Arabidopsis thaliana: one gene and its partners. The protein of the gene in region 2 interacts with the protein of the main gene of each other region in a pairwise test. Each region holds a gene or a part of one and is shown on either strand. Other genes may lie near its edges.

Region 1 (5,879 bases), on a different chromosome or scaffold from region 2:
TGTATTTTCGTGATTTTATTTTAAATACTAAGATTTTTGCCTCATTTTATCAAACACTTGAAACCCACACTATATATGTACGTGAATGAGCAAGCAGAAGTTATTGCCTCCTCACTCTCTAACTTGAATATTTTATTCTTAATTCTCTTCTTCCTCTCTACACACCCAAATCTCTTCTCCCTCACTCTCTGTCTCTCTATGTATAAAATATAATATGTGTGTGTAAGTAGCTACATATACGTGGCCATGGAGATTATTTGGAGTTTGATGATGCAAGAGAGAAAGTAATGGGTGAGTAACACTTGATGGAGAAGCAGGGCACGTGCGAACACAAATGAAATCGATCGGTACTTGTTGATCATATTTTCGCACGTGTTCTACTACTCCAACACGTGTCTCTCCCCCTCCCCGAGGATGCAATCGTCAATGGATAGAACAGAATGTAAATAAATTTAGCGTTCTAAGTTTTTACTTTATTAGACTACATCATGCGTATTAGGGTGTATATATGAGACATGAAGTTAACATTGATTGTTACTCCACTTTTTGTGTTACATTACTTTTTTTTTTTTCTTTCGGTAAAAGGTTATGTGTTACATTACTTGAGTAGGCAGTGGTACGTAATAATAATGCATACGAGTATAATAAAGTCATGTGATATAGACATACACAGTAGTAAGCATTGATATAGTCATTTCTCATAATATTAATATGATAGAAATGTTTCTTAGAGTTATTTTTATGTAATATAGATATCATTGAACTGAACCAAATGAATTTCCGTCGAGAGTATTGAAATTGCGACAAGACAGCTTTATAAAAATCTTTCTCTCTAATTACTGTTACGGTTTTACTAGAACTACTTGTTTCTGTTATGTTTAGTAAAATTGTTTTACTTTACATGAATGATATATTGATATCGGAATATTCAAGTTTCAAGACTGTTGTTAACTCTGACAGACACTATCTGTTTTATTTATTTATTTACTTTTAAGTAATACATTCAAAATTTGAGATGTATAAATGGATAAGAAACCTTGATATATGTTTCAAAAAGCAAATTGAGGAGAGTGTAATAGTAATAATGTAAAACAAAAAGTTGAATAAACGATTTTGGCTCACGTCATTGTTATTAAAAATGTATGCATGCGTGAAAAATAAGTGTAGGGTAAAAAGAAGAAAGTTTGTTGAGGCAAAGTTGCCTTAGAAAGCGGGGGAATTTCTCTCTTTCACTCACTGACATTATGTCTTTGTGTACTCACTCTCAGTACCAGTTTATTAAAGTATAAATAAAATGATATTGATGAAGAGAAACAATATATATTACACGAAGATAAAAAGATAAATTACGTAAGTAATATACTAATATTGTCATATATTTATGGAGACATAAAAAACCAAAAAAAAAAGATCTTGAGGTGATGAAAACGAACTTTTTGCAAGCGTCGTTGTTGTAGGCATTGCGGATGACTTAAAAATAATCAAATAAACAAAGAGAATGATACGTTTTATTAAATCATACATATGTCTTAAGTTATATTTTAAAATTTTAAATCATAGCCTCAACGAAGTTTGAAAAGGGATTTCAATTAATTTTTGCAAAAAGTTAATAGCAAATAAGTTCAGAGAGATAGAAAATAAATGTATCATCCAAATAGAAGAAATATAAATAAAGAAGAAAAAATTGATGTTAAAAAAAAAAGTTAAGGAATAACCCGACCCGAACAACCCGGTTTAGCCAAAATCTCAGGACTAGAAAATAATCAAATATGCTGGCAAGGCCAATTCGGTCCCATTAATAACTTATACATTGAATATCATAACATTTTTTGTTTTTTTCTTTCACAAATTATAGGAAAAATGGGTAAAAAACCATCACCAAATATTGTGTAAATATTTTACTAAATTGCATAACAATTTATAAGTTCTTTATAATATACACCATTCACCACTTAGTTTATTCTAATTATCTACATATACATTTTTGCAGCCACTTTGTAAAATAAATCCTGGAGTTGGGATTTATTTACAGTGGCTGCCACTGACATTTAATAATTATTTTAGATAATTAGAAAGAAAATCTTCTAATTAAATATTTGACATTTAACAATCTTCTTAAAATCTTTCTACCTTAACTACACGATTAATTACTAAAATAAAACTTTCAAAATATTTAATATCATTTAATTACTACAAAATTATCATTTTTGATGTTGCTTTTCTGCATGATTATAATCATCAAATCGCAGAGATATTTGATAGCATGTAATTACTACAAAATTACAAAATATTTAGACAATAATTCATAAACATATCATAAATAAGGTCAACATTAATAAAATAAATGAGTTTTCTTTACAGGACAGGTTGGCGGGACGGGTTTGGCAGGACGTTACGTAATAATAATTATAAACTATAAAATAAAAATATTTTATAAATAGATACAATTTACAATATATATATTAATTTAAAAAATAAATTGTTCCCCCGATATACCGCGAGTTTAAATATAGTTTTATATACATTTTGCTAGACTGCGATCTTGTAATCTTCTGATAACATCACAAGTTGGATACAATTTTTTTTTTCTCATCATGTCTCTTCTAAATTTTATTCTTTTTTCGTTAACATTTTATCCTTCAACTTACCACCCTCGTTATACTTTTTTTTTTCATTTAAGAAATGTAGTTTAGTTTTACATGCCTTTACTTATGAAGTTTTTAAACTTTACGATGGGTATTGTAATTTTGCTAACCTATTTTTAATATATATATAAAATCAAGAGATTTAAAAACTGATTTCTTAAAGAATTATCTATATGGTAAATAGTTCATGATTAATTTACCAGTCAACAACCGAGATTCAATGTCTCCAGCAAGGGAAATAATCACAAAAATATTTTGAAACAAATCTTTGACTACCTTTTAATACCATATCTTATTAATCATCACAATATTTGAAAATTATATATATTATTAAATAATTATATTAGTTGCATCATGTTTAAATAACATTACCAGATTGATATTTATTGATGATTTTTGCTGTTAAAAACTAAATTTGCTAGCTAAACATTTTATCCTATTTTATTGTTTTGATGTTACCACTCTATAAATATTTGGACTATAGTTCTACATATGTCAATCAGTAGTGATAATACATGTAGTAAATAAGAAAAACGGTTATAATCTCTATCTTCAATCCATTCAGATTTTTTTTATAATGTTCATGCATTAAAGCTTGATTTGGAAGTTTATATTTTCTTGTATTAAAATAAAGATACCCTATATAACAAATATTTGTACCTTCTCAGTACTACATAATACTACACATTAACAATCTCAAAATATACAAAAAAACATTTTAATGACGAGAAATAAAATGAAACTTGCTTTCATTTCCAACGATTCTTCAAGAAAAGCAACTTTCAAAAAAGAAAGAAGGGGTTGATGAAGAAAGTACATGAACTCTCAACTCTATGTGGCATCACATCGTGTGCGATCATCTACAGTCCGTATGATACCAGTCATGAAGTGTGGCCATCAAATTCTGGTGTGCAAAGAGTGGTTTCCGAATTTAGGACACTCCCGGAAATGGATCAACACAAAAAGATGGTAGATCAAGAAGGTTTTCTCAAACAAAGGATCGCGAAACCGACAGAGAATTTGAGGAGACAAAGAAAGGACAATAAGGAGCTCGAGATGACTGAAGTCATGTTTCGATGCTTAATTGGAAACATGGAGATGCTTAAATCAGAATCACAATCAGAATCAACAACAATGGTTTATGAAAATGATGAACCATCTTGAGCAAATGAAGTATCCAGGAGAGCAAATGGCGTTTCAATTCATGGATGATAGCCAACACAACCACATCCACCGTCATCAACAAGAGCACCAACATCATATCCCTGGAGAATCTTCCATCGCTCTTGATGTCGGCAACTCAAGCGATATCGTACATAGTTCTTGTTCTAAGTATTTCCAATAATAAATGGTTTCGTTAGGATTTTATTTAATGTGGTATTACAATAATTTCGAGAATGGATTGATAAGTGAATTTATAATTAGCTTTCAGTTTTTTTGTCATGTAATAGATTGCATCACAATTTATGTTTTTATTGTTATCAGTTTGATGATGGTGATATTTTTCATTCTATTTTCACAATGATATGTTGTTTTTAAATTTAGAGATTTGTGATACTCTTATTTTTATTGTTTCATTTTTCCGTTTATGTGTTGTTTTTCAACATATGTCTTACCTTTATTAATTCTTTAATAACATTTTGAGCAGATTAGATTTAAGGTTTCTTTTCAATTTTAGAACTGTTGAGATTTTATATTTTTTCTTTCAAATATAAAATATGACAGCTCACATTTTAAAAAAGAAAATATTTTCGTTTAAAGTGTTAAGTACAAATATTATATAATATATAATCAATAATATACACTGAAATGTTAATGTACCTAACATATTGTAAACCATTTAAAATTCTTTTAAAAACTCTTGTAAACCCTTTAATATTATGTGAACCATTTTAAAAGTCTTGTGAACCTACAACTCAATTTACTGTTTTATTGTCTTTTAGGTTCATCTACTTTGTCTAGCTTAATATTAGTCATCATAAGTTTATTGTGTTAACAACGAGAGCTTAGTGGAATTTGACCCTTAAGTGCTAACAACGATCTCTTATTTGTGGGAGTAAGCATAAGGCAATTTGAGCTATATCAACTCCGAAGCAAAACAAACTACATTACAAAAACATTTTAATCATGACTATCAAAAAACAAAATCCTTTTAAGTATTTTATCAACACACACTTGAACTTTAAAATCATAATAAATTTATTTTTAACACCATCAATAATATTTTTTAACACCTTCTGACATATCAAATCAACTTGATCTAGTAGAGATTATATAAAACAAAAAATTATCATGCAGTATACTATTACTTAATGACAATCATGCATAAATTATTTGCAAACTTTTATATAAAATACATAATCATATTAAAATCACAAATTTTAGAAAACAAATCATCCCATGGTGTAACATATCAATACCTAGTTAATGCTACAAATTTCAAGCCCAGACAAAGATATACATTTATCCCACAAGTGATGAAATATGAAAACCATTAATGGTATAAAATCAAATAGAATATGAATGGATATTCATTAGCAATTTAGCACTAATATTTTTCATTTAGTCAATGTATTCATTCTCATTTATGGGAATGAGTGGATTTTGATTTTATATTTTATTATTTCTTTAAAAGTTTAAAACTCAACCATGTGGAGCATAAATTGTTATGCTTTTTAGGTTTTTATTTAAAGTACAAACATATATATATATATATATATATATATATATATATATATATATTATCTGATTCACAAGTCACAAACAACCATAGTAGGGAAACTGATAGAAATGTTAGATTTGTCTAATTACCGGAGGAGCTCCTCCAGTTGATTGTCGTCTGATTGTTTTCCGTTGTCAAACTCAAACATCTCAATAGCATTTCCACATCTTAGCGCTACTTTGTTTTCGACGTGACAAGGACCAATCATTTCCCAAGCCGCCTTTTCATTCACTTTAATCTCATCCTCCATAGCGAGACCCTACTACACGGCCATGTATTGTTTTTTGAAACTCTATCCATGATCGTGTAGTAGAGTCTCATTAGGGGGATGTGATTGAAGTGGATGAGAGGTCGCCTTGGGAAAAGATTGTTGTTTGTTGAAAAAGGAGGAGCGCCAAGATGTGCAAATACTTTAGAAATGTTTGAGTTCATCTGATAGCCAAAGAGTATTGTCATGGTACTGTTTTGATTATCATTGGACTGTTTTTACAATATTTTTTTAGTTGATGTCA
Region 2 (7,195 bases):
ATAATAGAAGAAGCCTTGAAAGATGAAACCCCCAGAACATTCATCGTTGACGACTCATGACCCGTCGTTGACTTCAATATCGAGATCAAACCCATCACAAGCGGGCTTTGACTTCCTTCTCCGATGAGCTCCCTCGCGATGCTACCATACATCGATGCAGGTCGATTCCGAGGAGATCTATCGAAATCACGCTTGTGGGAGAAGAATCTAGGACGAACCAAGGATTCAAAGCAGTAACCACCGGGACCAACACGGGTCCCGACGAGATTCCGAGCAACATGGGTGGAGTAAGTGAAAGTGATTCTTATCGCCATAACTACGAATTTGATGAAGAACTTGAACAAGTAAGGGTAAATCGAAGAGTCGTAAAGCAACAAACTTTCAGCTAAAGAGAGACTTAGAAGAACAAGTAACCCATTTCTAATCAAACGATCAGTGAATTGTAAACAGAATCTACGAATTGAAAGGTCGGACTAAGTCCGACGAGTCAACCGGAGGAAGGTGAATTCACTCCGGCGAGATTGATTGGATTCAGGTGAGAAGCAAAAAACCGTGAAAGGTGGAGACTTTAGAGAGAGAAAGATCTGGGTATGCCTAAAGAGAAGATCTTTTAGTTTGAGATTAGTTGTGCAATCAAAGGAAAGGAAACTTCTTGGCGAGTAGAGAGAAATGGTGATTGGTGAAGGTGAAACTCTTTTTTCTCAATTTTAAAATTCATTTTTGTTATTTTTAGCAGAAAGTCAAACATTTGACCGAAAAGGAAGAAGAAGGAGATAAGTCAAATCCGGCTGCTGGGCTTATTGGGTCACACGATCATGTCGTTTCATTTGTTATGCTTGACGAACGAAACCACTATATTTTGTTTAATATTACTTTCTTTTAAGTAAGGATAAAACATGTCATTGTTTTACAAAAAAATTAACTGATAAACATTTCTGGTTCCCTGAATATACTTTTTTTTTTTGTGAAAGGGTTTTCTTATATAACTTGAACATAAAAAGTATACAAAAAAAAACAAACAATAACCAGAAACTAGATTGGGGAAGAAGACCAACTAAGGTACTTAACAAAAGAAGATATCAAAACCTATATATCTTGATAATGATGGATTCTTTTTGGTTTGTCATGTTAATGATAGTTTTTAGTGTAGAACAATAAGAAATTGACTGAACAATTGTTAAAAAGAGTAAATATGAAGAGAAGAGTCACACATGAGACTCTGCTCATTTGTGTTAAAAAATAAAATAAAAATGACTCGGCACATTCTATAAAAAATCAGATGCGACGGTATATTCTATTAGAATAGTTTAAGAATACAGATCAGATTCCTGAGAATTGTTCTAGAAGAAATTTTATTTGAACTTTCTTTGACAAAAAAAGAAGATATTTTATTTGAATTTTAACATATGCATGCCTTTACTATTTACTTCCCTTATGAAGTGGGTCTACATGGTTAACTATGGGATTTATTGTAACTCTGACAGACTAAGCAGAATCAGTACTGTATAACTTCAAATAATTTTACAATACTTCTATATATATATAGATAAATAATGAATTTGATAAAAAAGATTCCTGTATTTCTAATATTATAATTTAATATGTATCATAGATCCTTATCTAATGTCAAATATAGTTAAAACTTAAAAGTAGAACCACAGTGCAAAGTTATATTATATACATATGTAAATTCAAATATAGTATGCTTGATACATTAATGTTAATTTTAACTTTTGATAAGTACTTTTTTATAGGTAGGTAATAAATACAAATTAGGTCATATGTGTGGATACAAATGGTTCTTATTGTTAGGTTTGAGAAATCAAATCGAGGGCGTAAAAAAAAAGTAACATGAATCATATGTAAGTTTGTCAGTGGGGGATGTTAACATGAATCATATGTAAGTTTGCCAGTGGGGGAGGTTAACACATGAATCATGTACCGTTCATTGGGTGTGGTTTAATACCTAGTCAAGTCGTTCGTACATGACATTTATAATCATCGTACCACATTAAATAATTGTCGACAAATCTTGGTTTCAACTTTCAACAATCTAGGGGTTTTTTCTTCTTTTTTTTTTCTTTTCTTTCAGGCTTATATTTAGATTGGGTTTTAAGTGGTGGTCAACTTACTAATTTAAATACGAAAACTCTTCTGTTATTTAGTGTTTTAAAACCATAAAACTATTTGCTATGATAAAATTGTTAGAATACACTCCAATATAGATGAATTTTATTTTACAATTTTTTTTGCCAAAATCAAAATTGTTAGATTTTTTGTAGACTAAAAAAACCATTGTGTGATTGTGTCTACTTCCGATTTGAGCGGATATACAGACTTAGTCGAGGAACTCGATGTTAAGCCTTGCTTCTTTTGTTGATTAAATAAAAACTTCTTGGACTAGTTGGATTAGATAACTTGTTGTGTATACTTATATATGTGATGTCCTTCACTTAAATGTAACACGTTATAGTACTGAAAACATAATAAAATGAATCAGTTGCGACTTAATTCATAAACCATGTTAGATTTTGGATGTTTCCATACAACAACAAAAAAAATTTAAGGATTCAAGCAACGTGAGTCATGACGCTTTAGCAATGAATTGTTTTCCTTTCTGTGAGTGAGTGAAAGATCGAAAATTTTGTGGTTGATTATTTAGAGCATAAATTATTCCTCTCAAGTATTAAACTAGTGACTTTGACCCACACATTAGTTTTCAAAACTATTAGACCACCCATTTGGTTTCAATATTTTCAATGTTTTATAGGTGATAAAGTTTTCGCAAGTTTTCGCTTAGAAGATTATGAGTACTCGAATTCAAATGCATGCAAATTCCAAAACAATTATTCGTCCTTTCCTTCTGTATGTCACATATTTTGTTGTGTATGTCAACAACTAGGCTTTTTTGTTTGGTATCTATAATTCGTTCCTTTTTTTAGTTTGCCGGATCAGAATGTATTTTATGATTCATATCTTCTACAAAAGAGCCGGATATACTATATAGTTTCCTAGTTTATGTTAAAATTTATGTATCCACTTTGTTCCATCAAAGTTATTAAAAAGATAAAAGTTGCAAGATAAGAAAAAATAACTACATACAAATTGCAAACAAAAAAATAATATTTTATAATAAATTCCTCATTTTGAATACATAATAATATATCGTTTATAAATACAACATATATCATATGCATGTATTATTATTACAAAGTGGAATGATATCCATAATTTAAAATGTTTGTATTTGTGATCTGCTTTGCTTCTGAAAATTAGTTTTAGCATTTAATTTATTCAGTAAGTTATGGTGTACCTATATTTTGTAAGTTAAAGGTTATGTGGCCAAGTAGGAGAGTTGGGGACCTCTCTTTGTGTCTCTACATAGTTTTGTAAACCTCACATCTCTTTCTTCGCTTGCATTCTCCAAACTCCAATTTTTTTTGTTTCTCTCAATAATATTTGTGTTCATACTGTTTCGCTGTTTCCAATACATACTAATGGATAACACAAACCGTCTTCGCCGCCTTCACTGTCATAAACAACCCAAGTTCACTCATAGCTCTCAAGGTTTGTCTTTGATTTAGTTGGAAATCTAATTGTTCTTCCTTTTGGTCTACGCTCATTCATTTGACCTGTAACATTAAATTGTTTTGTGATGTACGTTTTCACTGATATTTTGAATTTATATACTAACTAAAATGCAGAAGTGAGTAGTATGAAATGGGAGTTTATCAATATGACCGAACAAGAAGAAGATCTCATCTTTAGAATGTACAGACTTGTTGGCGACAGGCACGTAACATTTTTCTTCTTCTGTTTATATATTGATCTAGTTCCAAATAGAAAAATTAAATTCTTGACCTAATTGTATTATAATATGTGTGAAAATATGTGCTTTAACAATTAAATATTTTTGTTTGTGTGTGAGGGATAAAACTGTTTGCCGTGATTCAAGCTTCTATCCAAGATCATTTTTACCTTGTTCTGAAAATTCGGATGTCGTGAGAGTCAGGATCTGTCCACACCAAATTTTGGATCATATATTATAATTGTTTTTATAAAAAAAAATATCCGGATCTATAGTTATATATATATTTTGAAAGTTTTTTTTACATAAAAATAATTTTAGATACCAAATTTATTTTAAAAACTACTTTTTAAACTTAATCCATATTTTCTAAGACTGTTCAATATTTAATTTTTATTTTTTAATAATTCGAATCTGAAGCTTATATAAAGAATCGATGACTTGCCTAACAATTGTTATAAACTATACTATAATTTTTTTTATTTTATAATACTTCCCTTTGATTCTAATTAATTCAAGTCTTACAAAAAATAAATTGTTTCATAAATATATCAAGTTTTCTATGCATTCTTTAGTTAATCATGAGATGAACTGTAAACTCGAAAAAAAATAATACTATTGGTTTAGAGTTAGAGAAATTTATTAATCACAAAATGATATATTTATAATCAAATTTTAATTATTCGTTCTTAATATGTGTTAAAACCTTAATACTTAAATTAATTAGAAATAGAAAAACTATTGTTGTTTTAAATTTATATAAATATATAGACTGTTAATGTAATGAAATCAAAAATGTAATTTTAGTTTTAATAATTCATTTTTTTACAATAATCAGAATACTAATAATAACATATATATGTTGGTCACAAATTGAATCATATGATCAGGTGGGATTTAATAGCAAGAAGAGTGGTGGGACGTGAGGCAAAGGAGATAGAGAGATACTGGATTATGAGAAATTGTGACTATTTCTCCCACAAATGACGCAAAAGTCACTCTCTTTAAAAAATCTCGAGAATCTCCCTGTTTTTCTATTTCTCATCCTCATTAAATAATTTCTGTGATTGTGGACAAGAAAAGCTTTATTAAGTTGTCGAGTGGGGTTCTCCTCATCATTAAATCTGTTATGGTCACGGAAATTACCACTTTAATTGGCAGAAAAAACCTCTATGATTATAAGACACATTCGGTTAAAGCATAAGCAACCAAAGACCCGAATATGATTGATTAGATACGAGATAAGTTCATTATAACAATGCATGAAAAGAATTCAACTAGTTAATGGGAATATGAAGGTAGAATGTCAAAAACATGAACCGTGGTATGCAAGGGTTCTATCCAAAATGAGATCGGAATTTGGCTTGAATGTGAAGTTTTTCCTTGAAAAATGTACGAATGTGGCCAATGAGAAGGACCGTAGTGCTACTTGTGACGCCCTTGACCCATGTGGATTCTCTTCCATCAGTAGCACAGATCAAGCCTCGTGGAATAAGACAGAGAATTATCGATGATGGTTCCGTTGAGGATCGGATGCTGTCAAATGTGTCGTTCAGTATGTTGAGAAGATGCATTACCAAAATCACTCCACCATTTTCTATAGAGCCAAAATATTGGGAACATTCGTAGTACTAATAGTAATAGGTCCAAGTAATTTGCGGAAAAGTTAGTGGGCTTTAAATATAAAACATGACTGAAATTGGGCCGTATTCGACATTTAGTTGTATTATTCTCTAAATATTCAGAACTCTCAATAAAATCACTCTCTGGCGACTCAACGTTGGCCAGAGAATCGGAGAGGGACATTAACTGCTGGCAGACTGGCAGAGTGGCAGTAACCATACGCCGAAAGAGATATTCTCAACTTGTCCCGTAAATCAACATCTTTACGAGACCTTCATGCACCTTCGGTTCTTTCATTGTTTCTGGGTGGTTGGTGTGGCAAATAGCTAGCTGTACGTTTGAGGTTGCCAAGAACTCCAAAACTCAGACAGTACGTGAGTCTCAAAAAGTTTTTCCTCAGCTAGTTGGAGATTTTTAGCAGAAGTTGACCGAGAATGATTGTTAGTGTTAGTTTAGATTCTTTGATAATATACTTTTTCCATGTTGATAATTATCGTTATAGAGTAAAATTATAGTTAACTAATGTTGATAATTATAGTTATAGAGTAAAATCTTAACATTCATACAGTAAATATGTGTAAGTTTTGTGTAGGAGGCTAAGTTGAATCCATTCTGTTCACTCATATAATGGGTGCGCTGAAGTGAATCTACGCACTTCACATTTAAAATCATTGGACCACTTTAGAGACATATTGTGGACCAAGTTCTTAAATCGATCAAACATCTACCAATCAACAAGCCATGTATTTATTCGAACATGCATGTCTTTTTGTTTGTTTTTCTAGTTGATACTTATTGATCTGGCTTTTAAATTTGGCATCACTCGTATATATATATATATATATATATATATATCTCGTAGATACGTTATTGTCTTATAGATATAAGGTATGTCTTTGTCACAGGGCAAGCTCTAAGAACGTTAGTTGAAGTGACATACTGCAACCATGTCTGATGTTTCAAATTTCTTTCCAAGCTCTAAACCAAGAAAAAGAAAATAACTTATCAAAAGAACAAACTTGATTTAGCAAGAGCATCAATACACATGTTACAAGTACGAAGCTGGAACGAGACGGAACACTGATCAAAAGAGATCGTTGAAATTAGAAACCAAATCATATAAATGAACTTACTTCAGCCCCAGCGATGACGCGCACTACTCTTTTGCCCATCTAACTATCTAAATAGGCCTAGTCGAGGATAAACCTTTGGTTCTTTTCGTTAGTTAATAGGCCTAGGATTTGTCTTGTACTAATTAAATGTTGTATAATAATGTATACATATATATATATATGGTTCTTTATAGTTTCACGCTGAGACATGAACATTAACTGAGACAACTTTAAACCTTGAATATAATTGAGCTTGTTATACGTGTCAGTTTCTTATTACATCAACTGAATTTATTTATCACTGAGACATTTATTGACTCCAGTCATAAATAGTGCGTATATGTATAATTGTGTAAAAAAGGTATGTAAAATGTATGTTGAGAAACAAAAAAGGTAATATGTGTAGAATGCTAAAAATGAAAACAAAGTACAAAAAATCAGAAATTTCATTGGTGTGGCATAGTGGTTACTGGCTCGGATCTACTAGGACGAGTACGATTTCGGCCCACGTACAGATCTAATATCACCGCACCAAATTAACAGATTGTTGGAGTTTGTCCAATTTTCAAGAAGTAGATTCAAACAATACTTTCAGAAACGGAACAAAAGATCTAAACGATATTGGAAAAGTCTACTGTTGTAACTTTCCTCA
Region 3 (8,668 bases), on a different chromosome or scaffold from region 2:
GTCAATATTTATATAATCACATAGTCACTAGTAATGCTCAAAAATCTAAATAGTTGATTTAGACGCATGCACGTGACAGTCACAGGTGACGAGTTCCGACGTTAGGTCAACGTGCAGATATAGAAACAGAAGACTTTTCAAAGAGACACGCGTAGACAAATAATTGGTTTATCATTTTCATTAAATACCACTAAAGGAGGCTGCTAAAGTATTATCGATAGTTGAGAAAGACCTAAAAATCACAGAAAAAATATTTGCCGGATTTGGTAACTGTTTTCTCCTCCTTATTCTCTTTCACCTTTTTCTGATGAGAGAGAGATGCGATGATTGTTAAAGTTACCGGCGGTCTCGGATTCGCTTGGTGCAGGTCGGGAACTGATTGGCTGACACCGACACGTGTCTTGTCATGGTTGGTTTGTGAGCTCCCGTCTTGTATCAACTGAATCGGAGTCCGAGGTGAAAAAATAAGGATCCAACTATCAGATCTGACACAATTATTCTGTTTGTTGTTCGTCTAATTTTTTTGTTGAAAACTGTGTGATTTGATTGATTCGGTATTGGGTTTTATCTAAATCAAGATAATTTGTTGTTTTTTTCCTTACTTTTTAAGTCTTTGTTTTAGTTTCGAAGCTTTAAGAATAATGTTTTTGTTTTTGAAATGTTAGGATCTAGGGTTTTTGAGCTATATAGATATTGTTTTCGAATTCTTTATCAGTTATTATTTATTAATGTTTAACGGGTAAATGAATTTAGATATCAACAGATTCTGATGGAAACTCTGTAAATTTTGAAGCTTTATGGTTTACCGTTTATGGGGTTTTGAGAAAATTTTAGGGTTTATGCTGGTTTTAGGTTAGTGATGATGAGATTTATACAATTTCGTTCAGAATAGTAAACGCCGTTGATGACGTATATTTTTCTTTTGTTTATTTTGATGATGTTATTGGTTTGTGATTTAAATAGAGTTTTAGTGACTTCTAATATTATGTAAAATCTTTTGTTATTTAATCAACATTTTCATTTTTTTTTGTTTGTTAAAGTTTGATTTTATTAGTTTTAAGATTTATAAAATATAATCTAAAATATTCATACTCTTGGAATTATCAGATTCATGTTTTTATAGCTAAAATTTTGTGATATTCAATTAAAGCAAAAAAAATGTATCATTGTTGATAAACTATTGCTAGAGAGTTTTCTATAATCATGTAAATTAATTTTTCACAATCTTGTAAAGTTTTTCAAACAATATCTCTATTTTGATTATACTTTTTTTGTCAAACATTCGATTATATTTTTTATGATTTTATTTTGTTAGTAAAAATATAGAAAATCATAAACCAATAACAGAATAATTTAATTCATTAACAATCAAATATTTTTTTTGTTTTAGTTGAATAACACAAAATTTTCAATGACTTTAAAATATAATTCCAATAAATCCAAATTTATTAAGAGTTTTAAAGATTTTTTAATAAATCAAAAACTAATAACATCAAACTAAAACAGAGAAGCTAACCGTATGTATATAGGGAGGCTAACAGCCTTGCAGACGGGTTAGCGAACTATGCTTTTAATCTATCTTTAGGTATTCATTAGTTTGATTTAGCTCCCTCATTGGTGGAGGAGATTGTAAGGGAGGATGTCCGAGGAACTGCGTTTCCGAGGCTCACCCGCCTACCGTTTTGTAATTTCTTTTCAGTTTCAATAAATTGCGGGAGACGGTTGTTTCCCCTCTACTACTAAAAAAAAAACTTTAACAGAATTTAATAGAATCTTGATTAAATAATAACAGATTTTTCATATCATTTAAAGTAATTAAAACACAGTTTAAATCACACACCACCTAAGACTTTTTTTCCATCTTTTTCATTAATCATATTGGACATTTTGCCTCATTATCCCACATTTAGATATGTATAATAGAGGCTTTGTTCGTTGTGGTTAACTAACCCTATTTCTTATGCTTCTTTAGATACAAAATCAAATTTTCGTACGGACCAACATTATATTGTCCATGAATTAACACTGAATGCAAAAGGACATGTTGGTCTTTTTTTCCCCTCTTTATTTGTTCTTCAAAGATTTGGTTGGATCTAAAATGTCAAATACAATCATGAAAAATCAGGATTTTATCAGAATATTATTTGAATGATACAAAAGAAAAATGTAACTTTGAACAAAAATTATTAATACCATTAATGTAATCGGATTCGGGCATATATAGTCAAAAAGGTTATTCTAAGAATAATTTAGACAAAAAGGTATAAGAGTTAGGCAACACTTTTCGGTTGTATTCATTAGACATCAATACCTTCTTGTATTTTTCAAAATAAAACTAAACAAGTGTCTACTTTACGCGAGTCGGATTAGAATGCATTTAAGAATTTAATTAGTTAGTTCATCTTCAACTAGTGAAGTGTTAAGGTGTTTAAAGATTACAAGATCAATCGTCTTAAATATAGGCCTTGAGGAGAGAATAAACAAAACAAAACAGATTTTGAAGTTTTAAACAAAAGACACTTACTAAAAGAATCCTAAGACCATGCAAATCCTAAAACTGTTTATCTCTTATGTCGCCTGCAAAGAAACAAATATAGTTGTAAGAACAAAGATTTTGACAACGAATCTAAAGGGAAGGCACAATCAAGCGTGCGGGTAAATCTTACCATGCATGCGTTTAATGAAGTAGTCCAAATCTGGAAAGCAAGTAGATCCTTGAACCAGAGGAGAAGGTTGACGATATGTGAAGAAGGAGAAGTGATAGCCATCTGGATGGTTTCTTGGTTTAGCTATATCGATTAATCTCATACAACCATCTCTGTCGAAACAAGTAATCGCATTCTCTCCACCGATTTGAAGTCCCTTATCCCAAGCTGCGTTGATCACCTGCCACAAATAACCAAAACTTTAGGGTTAAGATTACATTTGCTGAGAAGTAAAAAAAGCTATAGTCATCAATAAAAAGTGTCATTACCTGCCAACTTAAACCTTCTGGATCAGCTAATGCTTCTTCATGCGCATTGGGAGACATTTGTGGCCCAGGGCACACAAACTTCACAGTCACGGAATATTTCTTCAGAGTTTCGAAAACAAGAGAGTACCCATCACGGTTTGAAGGGTTGTAGTATCCTGCAGTTAATTCAGCAGCATGACTAGCTGTCTTGTATGACCAGTATATTGCCGGTATCTGCATTGTTGTTTTTGGTGTATGAGTCTCATTGTTATAGGCATCACTGGGTTTGAAGGATAAGTGCCAAAAGGATTATACCTTGACAATAATCTTCGTCTCCTCAAATGCGAGATTTGCAAGAGACAGAACATTCTCAGCATGACCAATTAGCAATTGTGAGTACCAATTTAAGAAGAAGCGGCCATAATAGCTGTCATATTCACCTCTTTCTTGGAAGAACACAGTTTCATGTGGATGAGAACTGTATTGACCAGCATTCTCTGGTCCTTTACCCCAGAAAGTGAATCCTCGTGACTTTGCTTCCTTTTGCAGACTCAATTGCGAATATTTGTCATAACACTGCAATAGGAAAAATAGTAAATTGATATGTTAACTTCACTAGTCATAAGTTAGAACGTAGAAGTAAAGTTCAGCAATCTGAAAAATACCTGAAACTCACCGATACCGGGATAAATCCAACCCATCCTTTCTGGGAAAGATGGGTACTTTAGTTCACCAGAAGCTCCAAGACCAATCTCAACCGCAGTAATTAGTCCTTCCACAAACAAGTCATCAAACTCTGACCGGAAGCTTCTCATAAAATCAAAATAGACCTGGATAATCAAGTGTTGAAAAGGAAGAAATAAGAATCTAGACAGTACAAAAGAGGAGGAAATGAGACATAATATACCAAAATACTGAACAATTTCTGAGCAATGAGTGTTCTTTGAGTACCTCTATACCAGTTCGTCCATGCAATACCCGTTCCTTGTCAATGCTCCAATTCAAACACTCGAAACTTCTTCTTCCTTCACGATCAGTGAAAAAAATGTCTGGATTGTCTTTCCCAATCTTCAACACCCACTGTGGCAACGAAATCATCACATTCCCAGATGCATTCCCTCCATACTCATGAAATGCCATCACCACCTTCAAACAAACCATATACTGATTGCTAAGATATTATGAAAAAGACGGTCCTTTATAGGGAAAGTCACAGTTTGGTCACATAGGATGTATTTAACAAAGCTCTACAAGTAAAAATATTCACACCTGTAGCTTAAGTTTGAAGTCTCTGATAAGGTTAAAGAGCTCCCTATAGCCAGACCATACATATTTCTGAGGGTTCCATCCTTCAACTATTCCCCACCAACAATCTATTACTACTCCATCGACATTTAATGACTTCATGTAACTTAATTCTTGTCTTACACCTTCAGGATCAACCAACTGGCCAAAGTTGTCTATAATGCCAACCTGAAAGACAAGGTACAGAACTTTAGCACAGGAAAACTAAGGATCGCGGCAAAACTGGTAAGAAATATATGTACACTCTTTTTTATTGGGCAACATCCATATATATACACTTAAAACACAAAGTTCTCTCATCAGAAGCTCACTGGAAGCATGGCGTACACAGGGACATAAAAGCTCTCTGTGAAGTCATTACATTGCTCTGCGGAATGAACATCTTGTATAAGCTGAAAGAAAAACAAAGTGGTTAGATGAAACAACGTCCAGCTTAAAGTCAATTCTCCTAATAAGGAAATGAATTTATCATTCACCTGATTGGCTTCCAAGCATCCAACGGAGGTGATAGGACTAACACTAGTATACCTTCCATTCCCGGGATGATCACTCTCGGCAATACCAATAGAATCAAGAGACACAGGAGCAAGTTTCTCATCGTTCCTAAGAACTGAATGCTGCTGAGATTCAATTGCAGCCTTAGCACAGTTCTTCAATGTACTAGAAGAAAGTGGACTCTCAATAGATCTCGTCGGAAACTGTACCTAATCCAATAATATTAAACAATCTATGTTACATTAATAACAGAACAAAGCTTATAACTTTAAGAGCTTCACACATATTTGGGATCAAATTTATCATCTTTCCACTAAACCCTAACTTAAATAGCTTAATATGAAAGTTTGAATTTTGAGAGAGAGAGTTTCGAAGTTTGAACCACATGATTTGGTTGCTGTGATTGCCGATAAGTAGTACCATCGGCTTCAACACTCCAACCAGCTTCACGAGCCAAAGCAGCGATTACGTCATTCATATCAGCACGCGCCGGTAACGGAAAATTACCGTACTGTCTTAATCCGGCGAGCATTCTACTAGTGATTGCTCGTCTATGTCTTTCTCTAAGCTTCGTTCTCTCTTTTTCCTTCTCCCTCTCTCTCTTCCCTTTCCCTCCTCCACCTCCTCCGCCGCCGCTGCTTCCTTCTCCACCGCCGATTCCGGCGATGTTTCCGTTGTTTACATCGTTTTCCGTTGGAGCTATCGACGCTGCTGCTGCTGCAGCGGCGAATCCGCGAGGGCGGCGAGATTGTGGTTGGTTGCGGTTCCGGTTGGGAAATTGATCCGGGTCTGGAATTGGGTCGAGATTCGGATCTTGCGAACCGGTGGTGGTGGTGATGGTGTTGTTGAGAGTATGCATTTTTGTGCGGTGAAGTTGCTCGCTTCTGTGCTGTTCCCACATTTGAGATTTTTTTGTAACTTTATGGATTTACAAATCAACGTCGGTAATTATTATAAATTACGTTAAAAGTCTCTCATTATCAAAATCGTCAATATTAACCCCTCCTTTTTTTTTTTTTTTTTTGGTCAAAAACCTCTCTTTTTTTTTTGTTCAACAATAGCCAATGTGACCAGTTTTGACAAAGTGATACTGAATTACTGATGGGTTTGTTAGGAATGACACGATGGGTTTTACGGTTTTGTTTCCAATCCTTTTTTTCATGGTTTTATTAGTTTAGAAAAGAAAAACTGAATAACATAAATACATAATTTGTCTTTTGATTTGATTTTGGTTTAGTAAATCAAACCAAAATCATGTTAAAATTAGTTTACATATTTTGACTCAGGTTTTTATTTTAGGTAGGTTTTAGTAAAATTAACATTATAATTATAAATAAAATGTTAATGAATTTCCGTTTATTTGATTCGATTTTATCATGTTAAAATTAGTTTTTGTTTGGTCTTTAAATCGACTTTACAGGGCCGGTCCAACAAAAATCTTCTGAAGCTAGAATGCCACTATATCTAAATTGTAAAATACTGAAAACAATCACTTCATAAAAAAAAATGATTTGTATATTTTAGTTTATTGTGATTTACTTTTTTCAACTCATTTTTTTTTTCTATTTTTAATATATCTTTTTTCTTTCTTTCTTTGAAGTTAGTGTAGTTCAATTATATTTTAATTTTTGAGAATATAGATTCGATTTTGGTTCGATTTTGGTTCGATTTTGTATTTCTGCTTCGCAATTTATAAAACCAAAAGGCTTTGTCAACAAAATTTCAGTTTTGAGTATAGTTTGAATATTCTAGTTTGGTTTGGTTACAACTATTTTTCATCTAAGTGATCACTGTTCAATGACCATTTCAAAGCTTTTTTCTCAATTATAGTCCTCAATGAAGTCCAATTATGATTGCAAAAAAGATTAAAAAATCGAACGAAAACAAAAGAATGTTATAATAGTTTGAAAAAGAAAAGAAAGAAAAATAAAGAAATGGTGAGTTTGGTTTTTTGTTCCCTCTCGTTCGAACATCAAGACACACTCTTCCCGTAAAAGTCTCTCTCTCTATCGCAGATAGGTGCTTTGTCTCCTTCTTCGATTACTCCGATCACCTAAAAATCTTTCCTTTTCTTCAAAGCATTTCTCTTTGATTCAAAGACAACACACATAGCTTAGTTCCTACATTAATTTCTCGCAATAAAAAAAGTTCAGATTTCGAGGTATTCTTGCAATCTCGATCGAGTTTCAGATCTGGGGATTCAATAATTAGGGCTTTTGATTCTGCATTGTCAATGACGAATTCGGGTTTCAATGTAAAGATCTGAGGAAAAAGTTTCGATCTTTAGATTTTGACTTGGAGGTTTCTTCGATTGGTGGATTTGAAGAAGATGGGGAAAAGACTTGTGGGTCTTGTGTCAATGATGTAATTTTAGCAGAAAGTTGTTTGCTTTTGAGAAGAAGATGGGATCTGGCCGGAGCAAATCATGTCTAGGCTCGTCGGCGATGGCGAGAGAAGCTTCTGACGTGGCTCAACCTCCTCCGTCGTCTTCTAGTGGTGGTGGAAGGAGAAGAAGATCAAAGAGTCTTTTTTGTGGTCTTCACTCTTCTTGTCTTGCTTCATCTTCTACTTCTCATTACAGTGATGATGATAATGATGAACAGGTCTGGTTTTGATATTTAATTTATTTTGGTCAAATCTGAAATTAGGTCAAGTTCATGAGTTTTGATTTCTTCAGGTGTGTAATGGATGGATGAGGAAGAGTCATGGAAGTGTTACACGGCGTAGAATGGAATCGAGAAGAGATGCATCAGATTGCTATGATAAAGAATTGAAAGATGATAAGAAATCTGAAAACGAAAGACATTGTGATGAGCTTGAGCTTGATGATGAGTGTGGTGTTGAAGAAGAAGAAGAGGAAGCTAGTGTAAGCAATGTACAGATGAGAAATGTTAGCGGTTCGATTCAAGAATCTTCTACTCCAGGTCGAGTTTTTTCGCATTTCAAATTCATTCCTGGTAACATAAGCTCTAGACTTAGCAGAGCTTCAAGTTCAAGATCCTTCAACACGACTTATCCAGTCTCTTCTTCTCATAGAGAAGATGGTGTTACTTCACCTTCAGAATCTGCTATTAGGCTCAATGATAGAGTTGAGTCTCCGAGAATTCCTGTGATTGACAATGTAGTTAGAGATATTGATGCCATGAGATTTGGGGAAGATGGTAGCTTACGTTCTCCGAGAGTAGTTAATGGTATGGATAGTACTTATGCTGGACTTCTTGATAGAAGACATGTTGTACGAGAACCTTCTATTGAGCGCAATGTTAGATTTAGTAGAACTCTGAGTGTTGGAAGACTCCGTGATAGAGTTCTTCGCCGATCTTCACTCTCTGATTTCGCATTCCGTCCCTCGCCACATCAGGGAGAAGAAGATACTGATCTCTTCTCTGCTGAAACCGCAGCAGCAGAGGATGCTCCTGTGACTTCAACGTCTATACTAAATCGTTCCGCTTCTAGCATTCGAAGGACCTTATTCGGCATTCAGGATCATGAGACACCAGCTGCTCTTGTGAGAGAAGGGAGGTATCAAGGTTTATTAGAACACAGATCAGATTTCCTTGAAAGAAGGAGGAGAATAAGATCTCAGGTTTGAAACTCATTGATTCTCTCTTCCTTGATGTGTCTGATCAACTCAAGATCTAACTAACTGATATAACTAATTCCACAGGTTCGCGCTCTTCAAAGATTAGGAAGCCGGTTTGAGAATGTCGCAGTCCATCATGATAGATCTTGTGTCTTATCAGGTCAAGATCAAGCAGGTCGCTGCACATGCCGTGCAGTTACTAACCGTGGTTCGACAACAGCAACAACCGATGAAACAAATGCAAGAGCTAGCATCTCAAGGATAGTATTGCTAGCTGAAGCTCTCTTCGAGGTAAATACATGTTTTCGGTCTCCCTACTAACAGCTTTTTGC
Region 4 (8,691 bases), on a different chromosome or scaffold from region 2:
AGCAACGAACCAGATGCATTCCATGATACACTTTTGACTTCGCTTTCATGTCCCTAAGAAAATTCCACGAGATTTTAAAAAGTCAAGAAACCCAGAGGGACATCAAAGCCCTACAATAAATTTCAGTTGTCAACAAACACATAAAGGATAGGCCTTTGAGATAGTACATTTAGTACCCGTAAAACAGAGACAGACTCGGAGTCAGTAGCAAAATTTTCCCAAACGCAAGTATTGCCATCGAAACTTCCCAGACGGTGACCAAGCTAACGACTTCACACTTCTTGTGTGCGCGCCTTCCAAAACAGCCTGACCAATCACGAGGCTTCATGTTCATTAGTGACACATTATCTAACAACATCAAATTCGAAAGAAAGAGAGAAGAGAGACCTTGCAGGTCCAGGAACGAGTAAGAGAACTCTGCTCCCAGATTCGTACGGTCTTATCGGCACTGCAGGAAGCAATAACACCGTCAGCGGCGGGATTCCAGGCGACGTTCCAAACACGATCAGTGTGACCTTCAAGTTTCTGAACCTCCTCTAACCCTAAATTCTTATCCATCACTTTCATCTCCTTCTGGATCAGCAGAGAAGCCTATAAGTTCCACGAAAATCAAATTTTGCTATATATATAATATCGGCCCGTCGAGGTAAATAACAAAAGTTAAAGCATATGGTTAAGATTAATTTCCAATAAATTTTAGAAAGTCTAAACAACCTCTCAAGGTATTTTAAGAAGATACTTTTTCCAATAAAATAAAATCTATGGAAAATATTTGGAAGATATGGAAATATTGAGCTGTAAATTCTCATTTATCTGATTTGTAAATTTTCTTTCCAATTTTCTAAAAGTAAAAATTTACTTTAATTTTTTTTTGGGAAAAACCACACCTTTTAATGTATTGGAATAAGGTGAATGGTTTGGGCTCTCTCAAGGGATGTCTTTCTTGCATTGCATCATCTTCTATTCTTCTTCTATCTGCATTGCATCAATGAATCCACTAAAGTTTGGTTCCTGGATGGGTGGTGATAGAGATGGAAATCCAAATGTCACGGTAAAGGTGATAATGAGGGCTTGCTTTCTACATTACTTTTTTAGGGTTAGAATTTTGCTGGTCACTCAACTTGCTAACACACTTTGCTGGTCATTAAGAGTGAGTCCTTGATTTCTATGTAAAGATTAACTTGCTAACACACTTGGTTTTATCAATAAATTTCTTGTTCACAGAAGGAGTATTGCATATGTTTAGGTGGATGGCTATCGATCTTTACGTAAGAGCGATTGACATCTTAAAATTATACGCCGCTCTGAGAATGAATGTGTGTTTTCTGACCCTCAAGTGCTTCAGACACTGAGAATGAATGTGTGTTTTCTGATCCTCAAGTGCTCGACTTCTATATTAATTCGAAAGGAGTTAAGATCAAGTAGATTGTTGAACCTCAGTGAACTAGTTAATGCCCTCTGTGATCATTTATTCCCATTTTGCTTAGTCTGCCTATATATAATTCTAAGTCAATGAACTTGTATAATATTCTAAGCAAGACATCAGTAGCATATAGTATAAGTTGATACACAATAATTAAGCCAAATGACTTGGGAAATTATACGACTTCAGATAAAAAGCGCTCTAGTCTATGGAGTAGATTAAGCATCTGCTGGTGCTGGAGTCGATAGGCTCCATAGCCAACGTACATTTTGTTTCATTTTAGAAAAAGCATTACAAGTTCTTGTTTGGACTATCAGACAACAAAAAAAAGTAACTTTTATAATTCGCCTAGGACCCAAAAGTTATGAGCACGGGTCTAATAGTCTAACATTAATAAGTGTTATTGATTAAGATCGTAGGCATGATTAAAGATGCATTCCAGCTTCAGTTAATAGTCGGTACTATAGTTCCTAGTGTTATTGATACTATTCTGCTTTACTAAATCAAAATTTCAAACTATTAAATAATATAGACTTGTAAGCAAACAATAATAAGGATATGATATCAATAATTATCGATTTCTATTGAAAATAATTTTGTCCTATACGAACAACAATAACTGTTTCACCAAATCAATATCCAATTTTGCTTGGAGTGGCCATGCAAGATACTTGTCCTTGACCCTTTTCTTTGTCTCATACCAGCTTAGAAAGTCATTGTTTAGGCAAGTACCATTAACATTATTTAAAATACAGATCAAGTCACGCTAATACAGATCAAATCAAGTACCATTAGATTTTCTTCTTCTTTTGGTTGTAATAAAGAAGAGCATAATTTCAGATGTTGCAATCTATATAGTCTACGAGTAATAGAGTTCAATTCCATCATCATTAGCCATGATAATAAAGACGTAACACATAACGACACATTGAACTTAAAATAAATAAATAAATAAATAAAAATGATAAGAAAGGAACAATCAAAGAAAAGGCCAAGCAAATTGATTGATATTTTTGTAAAGCTTACGTAAAAAACTTATATGAAAAAAATACGTAAATGGATATAAGATTTGATGGCACAATACAAAGACACGAGTGGTGAGAAAAGAAAGAAGAAAAAGCAAGAACCCAAATGGATCACACATCTCATCAATTCTCCTTAAATGGCTAAAAAAGATCTCACCCTTCTTTACTTTTTTCCCTCTTTCTGATTTGTGATAATTGAAACCAGCACAAGAAGACAACACCATTTTCTTATAACTTTATAAAATTTTATAAATAGAGACACATACATATATATATATATAGAGACATGTAAATAGTAAAATGTAGGGTCTCTTCCCTAATTTAAAGCCTGCAACAGAAATGAGTGCACTTCTCTGTAGTAAACAGTAACACATCGGTCTTCTTCATGTCTTTGGATTTCTTTTTTGGATTTCGATTCTGTTTCAACCATATATTTTCTTTAGATAATTTTACTAGATTCATCTCTTTCTCTATGAACAACATTTTAAATAAATGACATTTTAAGAAAGTGATTATATATAAGATTTTCTTGATTCTGATTTATCTTTTTTTTTGGTCGGAAGATCTTAAAGATATGAAAATGGATTCGTGTCATAAACAGAGGCAGCTCCGTACGTGATTTGGCCCTCCTTCTTTTCAACTTCTTCTTTCTTGAATATTAAAGTTGTATTTTTCCCCTCGATAATACAACTTTTGGTTTGTTTATTTAGTTATAAAATGTTGCTATTTGTTGATCTAGTGCTCTGAATCTTTTAGTGAGGCAGATGATGAAGATTATGAATTTCTTCATGAAATTATTGTAAGAAAAAGTAAGTAATTTTTTTTGTAAGTGTTTGCGTTCATGCAAAAGAGATTAATCAGACCCACTTTTCTCTTTTTCAGTTTTGTTGCATTATTTTGTTCTCTTTAATTTATGAATACTAACTTTATTGTTGATTTCTGCTTTTTGGTTCTCTTTAGGAACATAGAGAAGCTGCGGAATGAAAGTACACTGTTCTTTCACGGAGAAAGAAGATAAATAAGCATTATCTTCTTCTTCAGTTTTTAACACACATTTTGGAAATTTTGATGTAAAAATTCTCTTTGGAACGTTGTGTTGTCTGAAATCTTCCCAAAGGTTCTATCAGAAGAAGAAGGATAAAGGCAAGTTTCAACATTTTTAATGTTCTATGGACATTTGTAGTAATCTAAAGCTTTCTTTTTTACTTATTAGTTCACTGTTTATCACAGATAGCTTTGAGATATTATTGGTCTGTGTATCATTGAGCCTAGTTACGGCTTCATTAACTCATGTTTCGGTTCTTTATATATTTTAATGAAATATTTAATGACATAGTGAGCGATGTTCTCTGTCTCTTGCAGCATTTTACATTTAGTACTATTCTCCAAAGATTTGGTTTCTTAGATTTTCTGAAATCTTTTGTCTAAGTCTTAAATACTTGTCTTCTTTGGTAATGCAGTTTCATAGAAACCCAATGGACAACAACAACAACAACAACACTTTTAGTTCTCTGGATAATGTCATGACTAACCAAAATCCTCTTCTCATGGATTTTATACCTTCAAGAGAAGATTCAACTTCATTCTCAACAATGCTTCCATGGAATACCATCAGATCAGATCCTCTACAAATGGGTGGCTTTGATATTTTCAATTCTATGCTGACTAACAAATACTTATCATCTTCTCCACGGTCTATCGATGTTCAAGATAACCGCAATGTTGAGTTCATGGCTCCTCCTCCTCATCCTCCTCCACTTCATCCTTTGGATCATTTAAGACACTATGATGATTCCTCAAACAACATGTGGGGTTTTGAAGCAAATAGTGAGTTTCAGGCATTTTCAGGTGTAGTTGGTCCAAGTGAACCAATGATGTCTACATTCGGTGAAGAAGATTTCCCGTTTCTAATTTCGAATAAAAGAAACAATGAGCTTTCATTGAGTCTTGCATCAGATGTTTCTGATGAATGCTCGGAGATAAGTCTTTGTGCAGCTACAAGATTAGCCTCAGAGCAAGCTTCTTGCAGCAGCAAAGACATTTCTAATAACGTTGTTACTCAAGGTTTCTCTCAACTTATATTTGGCTCAAAATACCTTCACTCTGTTCAAGAAATACTATCTCATTTCGCCGCATACTCGCTCGATTATTCATCTCGAGGAACCGAGTCAGGAGCTGCTAGTTCAGCCTTTACTTCACGTTTTGAGAATATAACTGAGTTTCTTGATGGTGATTCTAATAACTCGGAGGCGGGTTTCGGATCTACATTTCAAAGGAGAGCATTAGAAGCAAAGAAAACCCATCTCTTGGATCTTCTTCAAATGGTATGTAATATATTCATTCACTTTTTTTGCATAAGTTAAAAAAATGGTTTGATATATATGATGAAGTTTTATGAGTTGATATTTCTCTTCAGGTGGATGATCGATATAGTCATTGCGTAGATGAGATTCATACGGTTATATCAGCGTTCCATGCTGCAACCGAGTTAGATCCACAGTTACACACCCGGTTTGCCCTCCAAACCGTTTCCTTCTTATACAAGAACCTGAGAGAGAGAATCTGCAAGAAGATAATCTCTATGGGATCTGTATTGGAGAGAGGCAAAGACAAGACTCAAGAAACCTCTATGTTCCACCAGCATTGCCTTCTTCAGCAGCTGAAACGAAAGAACCATCAGATTTGGAGACCTCAACGAGGTTTGCCTGAGAAATCTGTTTCGGTTCTACGGAATTGGATGTTCCAAAACTTCCTTCACCCGTAACAATCCTTACTCTTCTTAACTATCTACTTTATGATGATGACATTGTTAACTCGATTTTATAAGCAAAGTTATGTTTTATTTAATGCAGTTACCCGAAAGATTCGGAGAAACATCTTCTAGCTATACGAAGTGGCTTGACAAGAAGTCAGGTAATGTCTCATGTTTGTTTTCTTATGCAATGACTCATTGATAACAAGCTTTGTTTTCTTATGCAATGACTCATTGATAAGATCTTTGTTTTCTTATGCAATGACTTATTGATAACATCTTTGCTCACAATGATAGCAAATATGGTATTCAAATGAGTAATATATATCTTGACATACTAGTCATGTCTGAAAAACCGGTATTGGTTATTTTAAGATGAGATTAGGGCTAGGAAAAAATCAAGCTTTTCTCTTGAACTACAAATGAGACTAGATTATGTATTCTTGAATTCACAATAATGTTACTCAAGTCCTAGGATTGTAGTCGCACATATGTTTTGTTACTGAAGTAAGTTAAAGCGGGCAAATGATATAGAGTGTGTCTCTTTGTTGTGTGTGATTAAAGGTATCAAACTGGTTTATAAATGCGCGGGTTAGGCTATGGAAGCCGATGATAGAAGAGATGTATGCGGAAATGAACAAGAGGAAGCTCAATAACAGTCACATTCAACCCAACGGACCAACTCTTCGAATGCCAAAATCTGTTATGATGAGCCAAGCAATGCATAAATAAGACAACAATTGTGTTTACCAACTTTGTGATAATTAGGCAATTGCTACTCTATGATTGCCCAAAACCTAAACCATGTACGACTATCATTACGTATGTTATAATTGTATATACAACTCCTTTATCTTTGACTATTTCATTTTATTATCCTGTATTCTTATATCATAATTATCATCATCCTCATTAAACTTCATGATCACCATTTTTACGTAAAAATAAAATTAAGTTCATGAAAATATATAAAAAGTATGTAACCACTGAAGATTTATTTTCATATTTATTCAAACAAACTACAAAATACAAACCTAAAGTTTTATTTCACCGTTTGCATTTAACTTTTTTTCTCTTACAAGTGAGTTTTATTATTCCAAAAACTGAAATGAATAATGACGAAAATCTCCTAGCAAGCGACGTCGTATTTTGGTTTGACTTGAGAATCTTCGGTCAACTAATAAAAACGCAGCGTTTTCATCTGGTACGGACACAATTAGAAATAGAAAGTAGGAAAAGGAAGACACTTTGCTAAAACTGAGGAAGAAAGTGTAAAGACGGAGCCTTTTACGGCGAATGGAGGAAGACAGAGCCACCATGACCGGAGCTGTAGCCACTCGAGACTCGGTGGAACCCAGCGAAGACATACTCATATGCGTCGATGTTGATGCGGAATCGACGGTGGAGATGAAGACCACTGGAACTAACGGTAAGCCTTTGAACAGGCTCGAGTGCCTCAAGCTAGCCATTACTCGCTTTATCCACGACAAGCTCTCCAGAAATTCCGATCATCGCTTTGCTTTCGCTACCCTCTCCCAGTCAGCCGCTTGGGTAAGACTTACTTTCTCCCCCAGCTCTCTTTATGTTAGGTTGCTTTTGCTTTTGAGTATGCATGCTCCTTAGATGTCAAATTTTGAATTCGTGATGTTCATTGGACTATGGTAGCTTATAAATGTGTTGAGAGAGTCATATTTGATGTATTGCATAAGCTTCACTAGTGTGACTGTTAAAGTTGAGGTCTTTTATGTTTCAGCTTAAAAAGGAATTCTCCAACGATGCTAAATCTGCTGCTGCTTCTTTAAGAGAAATGTCAGCTACTAGATCCTCTGGTCCAGCGGATCTCACATTTCTGTTCCAGGAAGCGGCTCAGGAAGCCAAAACTTCCAGAGCACAAAATCGAATTTTGAGAGTGGTAAGTTTTGTTTTGTGCAAATACTATCTCTTCTAGCCACAGCGTGATAAAAGAATCTGTTTTACAGATTTCGTTTATATTTTGCTCTTCAGATTCTCATGTACTGCAGGTCATCCGTGAGACCAACCCATGATTGGCCTATAAACCAGAAGCTCTTCACATTGGATGTTATGTACCTGCACGACAAGTCGGGTCCTGATAATTGTACTCACGATGTGTATGACTCTCTTGTTGATGCTATAGAGCGTGTTTCGGAGTATGAAGGTTACATCTTTGAGGGCAGTCATGGGCTTTCACAGTCTGTTTTCAGGCGTATGTCAACGTTGTTATCACATCCTCCTCAAAGATGTGCTCAAGTTGATCTCCCCAAGCCTCCTGCAAAGAAGGTGACTGCGGTTAAGAAATGCTTATATGACTTTTCTCTTCTTTTGCTGATGCAGACATTCTTTGATTTTGTTTCAGCCAGCTGTTTCCTGTGATAAATCAGCCTCAGATTCAACGAAAGGAGCGAAGCAACCGTTAGAAAAAAAACCTAAGACAAACACAAAGAGAATACACAGCCTAGGCAAAGAGAAAGTATGTTTTTGTTCTTTTCACGTTTAATAACTGTTGCTCATATCAAAGACTCTGGGAAGAACCTTACCAATTGCGAATTGTAGTAATAACTATTCATGGTTTCAGCTTCTTATTCTCTTCATGTTGGAGATATTATTTTCTTGAACATCCATTGTTTTATCTTTTGTATATACTAGTTTCATTTGCTAAGAACAATGTAAAATAAAAAGAAAAATTTGTATACTCATGCTGAATCAATTCCTTGACAGACATCTGATTTCAAAAAGTATGATGAAAAGATAGTTGGGTCGAGGGTTAAAATCTGGTGGCCGTTGGATCGCGCGTAAGCATTTTGTAGTTTGTGCTTTAATATACTACTTCAATTTATTTATTCTTTCTGTGCTATGTATTTTCCTTTAATAGCTGAATCTGGACTAGCACCTCGGATGGTTGCTGGTTGCATTTCTGTCGACCATGCCTGTAAATGAGTATTGGATTTTTACCACAGGTATTATGAAGCTGTGGTCATTTCATATTGTTCTGCTAAAGAGAGACATCGGGTAAAGCTAAATATATCAGTCTTCTACATAACTATTTTCGTTGGTTTTTGGTGAATCATTAGTCTATTCTCCTAAGTGATACATATTTTTAATTTGATCCAGGTCATTGATAATATGCTATATTTGTTTATGCTGCTGCTGCTATGTCGTTTTCAGGTTCGCTATATTGATGGAGATGAAGAAATCTTGAATATGAGAAAGGAAAAGTGGTATTTTTCTGAATGAATCAAAGTCATCAAAGGTGGGGAATTATATCTCTCATCTCTGGTTTTTTGTTTTGTTTCATCCCCCGGATTTTGTTTCATGCTTCCACATTTTCTGTTAGCAGGATAAAGAAGCTAATCAAACGGGATGTGATGAAGAAGCCTCCACAATGTAAGCATTACTTCTCCAGTTCTGGTGTTTTTGTGGTGCTGGAATAGCTCGATGTGAATTTTTGTTTATGAGATCAACTCGATGTCTTG

What was found.
Region 1: the proteins of TCL1 (region 2) and AT5G27810 interact in a two-hybrid assay, tested with the Arabidopsis thaliana proteins (one large-scale study listed by BioGRID).
Region 3: the proteins of TCL1 (region 2) and BMY2 interact in a two-hybrid assay, tested with the Arabidopsis thaliana proteins (one large-scale study listed by BioGRID).
Region 4: the proteins of TCL1 (region 2) and ATH1 interact in a two-hybrid assay, tested with the Arabidopsis thaliana proteins (one large-scale study listed by BioGRID).

Annotation. Positions count from the first base shown.
Region 1 is NC_003076.8:9,852,378-9,858,256, forward strand, and holds AT5G27810 (MADS-box transcription factor family protein), read left to right. Parts: upstream 1-3,293; 5' UTR 3,294-3,449; coding exon 3,450-3,809; 3' UTR 3,810-4,081; downstream 4,082-5,879.
Region 2 is NC_003071.7:12,966,363-12,973,557, reverse strand, and holds TCL1 (Homeodomain-like superfamily protein), read left to right. Parts: upstream 1-3,317; 5' UTR 3,318-3,497; coding exon 3,498-3,567; intron 3,568-3,704; coding exon 3,705-3,792; intron 3,793-4,698; coding exon 4,699-4,795; 3' UTR 4,796-4,993; downstream 4,994-7,195. Other genes in the region: TPP (thylakoid processing peptide), read right to left, coding at 1-314; AT2G30430 (uncharacterized protein), read right to left, coding at 5,146-5,382. UniProt on the Arabidopsis thaliana protein: MYB-type transcription factor involved in trichome cell specification. Acts as a negative regulator of trichome patterning and formation by direct binding to the cis-acting regulatory elements of GL1, thus suppressing the expression of GL1.
Region 3 is NC_003076.8:18,350,580-18,359,247, reverse strand, and holds BMY2 (beta-amylase 2), read right to left. Parts: upstream 5,724-8,668; 5' UTR 5,655-5,723; coding exon 5,136-5,654; intron 4,963-5,135; coding exon 4,735-4,962; intron 4,651-4,734; coding exon 4,570-4,650; intron 4,427-4,569; coding exon 4,223-4,426; intron 4,100-4,222; coding exon 3,905-4,099; intron 3,784-3,904; coding exon 3,619-3,783; intron 3,530-3,618; coding exon 3,269-3,529; intron 3,188-3,268; coding exon 2,975-3,187; intron 2,887-2,974; coding exon 2,667-2,886; intron 2,578-2,666; coding exon 2,552-2,577; 3' UTR 2,360-2,551; downstream 1-2,359. Other genes in the region: AT5G45290 (RING/U-box superfamily protein), read left to right, coding at 7,156-7,356, 7,431-8,339, 8,421-8,627.
Region 4 is NC_003075.7:15,912,106-15,920,796, reverse strand, and holds ATH1 (homeobox protein ATH1), read left to right. Parts: upstream 1-2,643; 5' UTR 2,644-3,257; exon of another isoform or gene 3,258-3,408; 5' UTR 3,409-3,591; intron 3,592-3,908; 5' UTR 3,909-3,923; coding exon 3,924-4,772; intron 4,773-4,864; coding exon 4,865-5,208; intron 5,209-5,300; coding exon 5,301-5,361; intron 5,362-5,764; coding exon 5,765-5,932; 3' UTR 5,933-6,127; downstream 6,128-8,691. Other genes in the region: AT4G32990 (Transducin/WD40 repeat-like superfamily protein), read right to left, coding at 1-53, 177-263, 388-567; AT4G32970 (BRISC/BRCA1-A complex protein), read left to right, coding at 6,497-6,751, 6,954-7,112, 7,205-7,498, 7,575-7,688, 7,937-8,010, 8,176-8,227, 8,556-8,602. UniProt on the Arabidopsis thaliana protein: Transcription factor which may be involved in the signal transduction pathway downstream of the COP1 gene. Controls floral competency as a specific activator of FLC expression. Is responsive of the nuclear import of SHOOT MERISTEMLESS (STM).